2 linked regions of the Diceros bicornis minor genome follow. The protein of the gene in region 1 interacts with the protein of each later gene in a biochemical or structural test. Links are inferred from orthologs where the notes say so. Each region holds a gene or a part of one and is shown in the gene's direction. Other genes may lie near its edges.

Region 1 (3,744 bases):
CAGAACCTCATCGTCCCTCACTTGGGTTCCTGCAACAGCCTCCCAGCTGGTGTCCTGCCACCCTGCTTGGCCCCACTCTTCCATTCTCTACACAGCAGTCAAAATCTCTCTGAAAGGCAAATCTGATCATGTGGTTCCTGCTGCCCTTAGGGTCAAGTCTAAATTCCTAGCATGGCTTATAAGGCCCTCTATGATCTCGCCTGTTGCAACCTCCCCAGTTCAGCTCATGCCAAGTCCCTCTATACTCCAGCTATCCTGAATCTCTTTCTAGCCCTCCACCATGGTCCCACTCTCTAGCTCTGTCTTTTTCGTATGCTACTTCCTATGTCTAGACCCTTCCCCTGGCTCCCAACTCTTTACCTGGCTAATTCCTACACATCCTTCAGGTGTCTGTTGAACGTCACTTCCTCTGGAAAGCCTTCTTCAATTCCCTAAACTAGGTTATGTGTCTCTCCCTGCCATTCCATTTCCTAGTGCCTACCACTCATGGATTTAATTGCTTGATCAATTGGCTATGGTTTCTTTTAAAATGTGAGCTGGAAAACCACGTATATTTTGTTCCTGCCTGTGTTTCTCACAATACGTAGAACAATGCTCACTACATATTTATAGAATCAAGAATGAATGAATGCATATTCCTATTCCTACCAGTAGAATCTGGAACTCCTTGCTAAGTTGTCTTAAGTGTGTGGTATTTGGGATGTGCTTAATAAGTGTTTGTTGAATAAATGGATGAATGAATGATCAGCTCTTTTCAAGACCATTTATTTTATTATACTTAAAAAAAAATTATCCTTGCTCATTTGTTTTACCATCTGCAAGAATTTGCTCTGGGAATAGTGGCAGCATGTCCCAATGTTTTAAGAAAATTGTTAGATGCAAAACAAAATCCCAAGGCTGGAGAATTCTCTTTACTAAGTTCCAGTGCTTGGTTTTAGCTCCATAGCCCTCCGTGGGAGGCAGCATGCCTGGGGAGGTCCTCCTGCTCACTCCCTGTATCCATTTTTCCTGGCCAGAGCCTGGCCACCCAGTGGCCCCACTGCCCCAATGGATCCACTGAACCTGTCCTGGTACGATGACGATCTGGAGAGCCAGAACTGGAGCCGGCCCTTCAATGGGTCCGATGGAAAGGCCGACAGGCCCCACTACAACTACTACGCCATGCTGCTCACGCTGCTCATCTTCGTCATTGTCTTCGGCAACGTGCTGGTGTGCATGGCTGTGACCCGCGAGAAGGCGCTGCAGACCACCACCAACTACCTGATCGTCAGCCTCGCGGTGGCTGACCTCCTCGTAGCCACGCTTGTCATGCCCTGGGTTGTCTACCTGGAGGTAGGTCTGCACCTCTGCCTTGCTCCAGCACCTTCTCCAGGAGGGCGCTACACTGGAGCTGGGGGCACAGCTCCTCGCTGGTTTCTACCAACAAGTTGCCTGGTGCTTTCTCAGGTGGCCTCTTCCTCCACTCCGGGCTCAGTTTTTCTGCTTATAAAATGGGTAGATTGTCTGCTTAACAATCCTAACTACCAGTTGTAGAGTGCTTCCTAAGTGCTGGGCCTCATGTTGACTCCTTCATAGTCAGCATTTCCCCATATAGTCCTCACAGCAGCCCTGAGAGGCTGGTATTATTATCGTCATTTTACAGATGGTGAGCCAGAGGGTCAGAGAAGTTAGGTGACTTCCCCAGCATCACACAGCTGGACGGTCCAAGCTGGAACTCTGTCTGACCCCAGAGTCAGTTCATTAGGTCATGTTGAAAATAGCAATAATTGATGAGGATCCCCAAGGAAGGGAGATGTTCATGCTTCCTGGCCTAAAGTCTTCATTCCTCTCTCCCCACTACAAATATGGGGGATGCTGCTCTGTGCTCTCCTTCTCCCTTCTCTCTCCCTCAGTTTATTCCAGTGCCTGTTTCTGGGACCTCCAGGTAGAGACCACTGTGAACAGTGCTGCACTCCCTGTCCTCAGGAAGGACCATATAGTTAACCATTGCTCAGCTCAGGACAGAGCCCGGCTCTGTGCCTTGGAGTAGTGAATGGGCAGCCCCAGCTACGGTCCAGGCACTGCCCCCCCCCCAACTATGGTCCAGGCACACCCCCAACCCCTACTCCATGGTCCAGGCACTGTGCCAGGCATTCTGCAGACACAGACTCAGCAAATATTCATGCTCATCCTGGGAGTCAATACTATTCTCACTTCACAAAAGAGGAAACTGAAGTTTTGCAAAGTTGCTTGTCTTCACCCAGATCACACCACAGAGGGAGAAACCGCTGACAGAGAAGTCCCTGAGAGTGGCCCCATCTTCAGGAGGACACTTTTCAGAGCAGGCAGGCAGATGTGGGAGGGTCTGGGGGATTTGGGTGGGCACAGGCTGGATCCTGCCCCTTTCTTTGCCCAGGATTCTAGGGTGGAGTCTGGGTGCATGGGAAGCTGACCAAACATTCAGGAAAGAGCCAAAGCGCCTGAGCAATTATCTTCCTGCCCTAGGCAAGAGAGGAATTCACCTGTGCCAACAAGGCAAGTCCCTGCCTGTGGGGGAGGGCTTCCACTCTTAAAAGAAAACGTGAAACCTTTGTAGGTTTGAGTAAAGGAGACATCTAGGAGAAGAAGCCGATGGGGGAGGGGAGGCTGGTCAGCAGGCACCTCTCCCTGTCTCCATACCCCAAGGGGCTCCCTGTGCTTCCTGTTGTCTTGACCAAGATGGCCCCAGGGAGCTCTGGGCAGTCACTCCCTTGATTTCCTTTCACACGGACCAAACAGGCTGGAACTTTCCAAGTGACATGATTGAATGTTAAGGAAGAACCAAAAGGAAACAAACAATAGATACAAAATAACATAAAGACATACAAGTGCCACAGTCCAGGGGTCCAATTCCTCCACGTCTTGCATGTTTATGAGGACTGTGGACTCTGTGCAGCCACGTCCTGTCTGAGGGCCTCGCCCTGAGCGGCCCCCTCTTAGTTCTTAGGACTCTTCCCTTCCTGCTCCCCTTCAAAGGAGGGTCCCAGGCCTCAGACCATCAGGGTAAAATGATGGGTGGTTGGCAGAGCAAACAACCTGTCTGTGCCTCACTTTCCATACCTGTATGATAGAGATAATAATAGCATCTACCTAGTAGCACTGTTTGAGAATCACGTGAGTTAGTATATGAAAAGGGCTTAGAATGGCACCAGGCGCGTAGTAAGCACTGTGTAAAAGTCAGCCATGACAATGGTGATGAAGGCGAAGTAGGTATCCACATAGAGGGGACCCTCCCCATGCCCAGGCTAAGAGGCACCCTCTTCCCAGAGTGAGGCATGCTCTGCCCAGGGCTCTGGGCATGGATTCTGGGCCTTCCAGACCTACCATCCCTACCCGGACACCTAGGGTAGGGCCAAATCTGTACATTCGGGCTCCTAGGAATCTGTAAGTCCTTCAAACAGATATTTTAAACATATCTGTTCCCCATTATTTTAAAGGTGAGGCTCAGTGTTTCAAGGGGCAGAGTGGAGAACAGCATCTCCGAGGGCAGTGCTCGAAGTCTCCCATCAAAACAAACGGACAGTAGGCCCTGCTTATAGGACATCGTCTCAGCTATGTATTGTCCCTAGAGAATGCTCCAAGTGGAGTCTCACCCTATCCCAGCATCCTGTCAAAGTATCCTCACAACCACATACTGTAGCCTCTCCAAGAGATGCTCTTGTCCAGAATTTTCCATCATGTTCCATTTCCAGCAATGTTGAATGCTTCTGATATCCTGCCATGTCA
Region 2 (3,744 bases), on another chromosome or scaffold:
CTGGCGATACAACTACCAACAAGACAGGAAGCCCTGCCCTCAGTGGCTCATACAGAAACACAGGGCCTAAGACCGGAGTCTGATGGATGCTAAGGAGAAAACAGAGAAAACTGGGAAGGGGATGGGAAAGGTCCCCCCATGCAGATGGGGGGCCAGGGAAGGCCATGCGGACCCCCCACCCCAATCCACTTGCCTCTGTCCATCCAGGTGGAGCCCTGACCACTGGCCTCGGCCTCAACTCCTGCCCGGAGCGCCCCTCCACGGGGGCAGAGAGGCAGAGAAGGCAGACGGTCCCCTGTCACCTCCCTGCTTAAATCCCAGAGGCCCAGCTCCTGTCCCCCTGGCCCTGGCCCTTCTCTCTGGCCTCGGATCACAGAGGCCCTGCGCCTGGAGCCCTGTGCAAGGAAAGGAGCCGTCCCTCCGGGTTCAGGCCTCCTTGCCTCCTCCGGGTTTTCTGGGCCTTGAACACGTTCCCACCCCCATCCCTTCCTCTCCCTGGGCTTGGAGGTCACTTTCCCCCGGGCGGCGGTAGGTGACCCCCACCAAACATGTGACACCGTGCGGAACAGTGCCCCCCGCCCCCGCCCCGTGAGGGCTGGGGCCCCGCCTGTCCTGTGCAGCGGCGCGTCCCCAGCGCCCGACAAATCCGTGTCGAATGAATGAATTTCGCCGGGCAGAGACTTGGCCTCGTTCACGTCAGATCTCCAGGGCCCGCCCCCGCCGTGGGGGTGCTGGGGCGCCGGGGATCGACTCCAGGGCGGGTGGCGGGGTGACCTCCCCCCTCCCCTCCCGCCCCGGACGCGGCGAGGCCGGGGGAGCCCCTCTGCGCCCGGGGGAGCCCCTCTGCGCCCGGCTCCCGGCTCGCGGGGCCGCCGTTCCGCGGGCGCAGGCCCGGCCGCGCGGGTGCGGGGCGGGAGGTGGCGCCGGGCGCTGAGTGGCGGCTCCGGGTCCACCCCTGGCGCGCCGGTGCGGGGGGAGCGGGAGGCGGGGAGCGCAGGGGCGGCGGCGCGAGGGAGCGCAGCAGCGAGCATGTGCCGCCGAGCCCAGTAACCAGGGACGACCGCGGCCACACGGCGGCCCGTCGGCGCCCAGCCCAGCGCAGCTCCGCGCCGCGGCGCCCGGAGAGGGCGGCGGCCGGACGGCCCGGGCCTGCCCAGCGGCTGCCCCGCGCCCCGGGCCCCGCGCCGCGCCCAGGGCGGCCGAGGCGCCGCCAGCCGTGCAGCGCAGCGCGCCGGAGCCCCGCGCCCGGGCCGCGCGGGCACGGCGCAGACAAAGGCGCGGCCCCGGCCCGCCGGCCCTCCGCGCGCCCCGCCCCGGCCCGCCCCGGCCCGCGCCGGCCGAGCCGCTCCCGCTGGGCGCCCCGCCGGGGTCCGGCCCGGGGGGCGGGGGCCGCGGCGACGAGGATGGGGAAGTCCAACAGCAAGTTGAAGCCCGAAGTTGTGGAGGAGCTGACCAGGAAAACCTACTGTGAGTGCGCGCGCCCGGACCCCTGCCCCGCGCTCCCCGGAGCTCCTTCCGCCCCCTCGCGCCCCTCCCCCAACGCGCGGTCACCCCCCCAAACCCCTCCTCCCCGCTCCGGGCCCGCTCGCCACCCCCCTCAACGCCGCCACCCTCCCTCGGTCGCTCACTGCCCCGCCCCCGCCCCGGGCCTCTCAGAAGCCCACGGCCGCGCCCCCAGCCCCACACCTGGCCCTATTGTTCTCAGGCACCCCCCACACCAGGGACGTGTGCCGCCCGTCAGCGTGCGCGGGGCCACCCCCAGGCCGGGAGGGAAGCCCCAGCCCACCCGCGGCCCCCTCTCTGCAGAGCTGTCGGGAAGGGCACGGGTGTGCAGGGGCGAGGGGCAGGGGTCCGGGGAGGGGGTGCCCGCTGGCGAGGTGGCTCCGGCTGCGCGGAGCCTACTGGCACGAGCGCAGCGGGGTGGGTGATTCATGCATCACGATGCCGCTTCTGCTGCCGCGAGGTTGGCCTGTCGCCCCCTCCCTGGCCCCGATCGTGTGTGGGGGGTGGCGAGACTTGTCAGAGAGCTCGTGGCAGCCGTGGTGGGTAAGGGTCCTGGGCGCCCTGTTGGCTGCAGGATTTACAGGCTGAGTTCTCCTCTGGCCCTGATCTCACCTCTGCCCTTCTGTCGCTATCTGCCAAACTGGGAAATGGGTTTATAGAGCCTGTGGGTGATCTGGCCGATCTCGTCGTTTAACTATCTGGGGCTCCCCTAGGGGGAGGATCTGTCCATTTTGGACTTCTCTAGATCCGTCCCAGTGTGTGTCCCTCCACTTGCCCAACTTCACAACTCTCCAGGCCCCTTGCATCCCCAATTTTTCCATGCCAGACTCCTCCCTTCCCTGCAGCCTCTGGGGAGATGCCCCAGCATGCCAGGGGTTAATGGCACTGGGTCCTGACCGCACAGTCTTTCTTTTGGGGGATGGGGTGAAGGATGGCATGGTGTGGAAGGTCTTCTGACTGGGTGTCTGACCTGGAAGGGGGCAGTGCCCCTGGGTTTGGGCTGGAATTCAGAACCCACACCTGGGCAGCTGCGTGGGTCCAGCCCCTCTGCACCCTCCCTGGAGGCAGCAGATTGACTGCCAGCCTCATGCGCTGATGGAGCCTGGGGAGGCAGCTTCTCGTGGTGCATTGCACAACCTCTGCTCCCCCTCCCCCCCAACTCCATCGGTCTTCTGGGCACGTTTGCAGGTCTGTCCAGGCCCACGCTTCAGCTCCGCGCCCCTCGCCCCCATGTGCTTGGAACAAAGAGGGCTTTCCTGAGTGGGTGCTAGTCTGCTGGGAGGTACTGGCCCTTCTCCAGTGGAATTCTGCAGCAAGGAGCTCATATCCCAGGAGCTGCTCCTGGAAGGGGTGAGGCTGCGAGAACCCGGGACTCTGTCCTTGCTGTTCTTACCCCGTTTCCGAGGTGGCTGGGTGGCCCTTCCCAGTCTGGCCGTCGTTTTGTGAGATTTGCTGGGCCTTCCTTCAGGCTCCGTCCAGAAGTGGCCCCTAGCTGTCTGCCAGCAGGCTGCAGGTGGGACTTCCCGGGCCCCTGTGCTCGGGGAGGCAGAGGGCGCCATGGGCGTCGGCGGGAGTGGTGGGCATGGGCTGCGCTGGGGTGTTTCCATCATGGTGGAGCAGGGGAGCCACCTGTGAGCCGAATGGAGCAGGTTTCCTGCTTGTCAAGCATGTCACACACCGAGCTCTTTGCATCATTAGCACATTGAATCCTCGCAACGGCCCTGCGCTTAGTGGGCGCTGTTACTCTCCCCATTTACAGATGAGGAAACTAAGGCTCAGAGGGGCCAAGCGGTGTGCCCAGCATCCAGGACTTGAACTCAGGTCTGTCTGTGTCCAAAGTGATGCCCCTTGACCTCAGAGCTCACGCCGAGAAGTCAGGAGGGGCTTTTCTTCTGTGCGTCCCTTTCTGGTTTCTGCTAGAAGCCCGTTATGGTGGCTTCTGGATGGGAAGGGGCCTGGAGTGGTCATTGTGTCCACTCCCCTCCCTCCAGGCAGATCTGTCAACTTTGGGAGAAGTGGAGTCCACAGGCTTTGTTGGGAATTGGCCCCGTGGTGCCGAGCTGGGCTGGGCTGTTTTTAAAGGCCTTTGGAGACCTGGAAGACCTTCCATCAGGGAGCTAGTTAGCCCGGTACGTTTCCTCTGTGGAGCCCTTATTAGGGGCGGGCTGGTGGAGGTGCTGCTGGGTTCATTTGCCTCCTGTCTGTCTCCCTGGCTGATGCCGGCTCCCTCAGTGCACGCCC

What was found.
Region 2: the proteins of DRD2 (region 1) and NCS1 form a complex in vitro, tested with the Homo sapiens proteins (2 studies listed by BioGRID, with this or other methods). The link is inferred for Diceros bicornis minor from reciprocal best matches to the Homo sapiens genes DRD2 and NCS1.

The regions. Positions count from the first base shown.
Region 1 is NC_080746.1:22,931,027-22,934,770, forward strand, and holds the start of DRD2 (D(2) dopamine receptor), read left to right. Parts: upstream 1-1,020; 5' UTR 1,021-1,047; coding exon 1,048-1,332; intron 1,333-3,744. UniProt on the Homo sapiens protein: Dopamine receptor whose activity is mediated by G proteins which inhibit adenylyl cyclase. Positively regulates postnatal regression of retinal hyaloid vessels via suppression of VEGFR2/KDR activity, downstream of OPN5.
Region 2 is NC_080767.1:37,657,081-37,660,824, forward strand, and holds the start of NCS1 (neuronal calcium sensor 1), read left to right. Parts: upstream 1-920; 5' UTR 921-1,403; coding exon 1,404-1,467; intron 1,468-3,744. UniProt on the Homo sapiens protein: Neuronal calcium sensor, regulator of G protein-coupled receptor phosphorylation in a calcium dependent manner. Directly regulates GRK1 (RHOK), but not GRK2 to GRK5. Can substitute for calmodulin. Stimulates PI4KB kinase activity.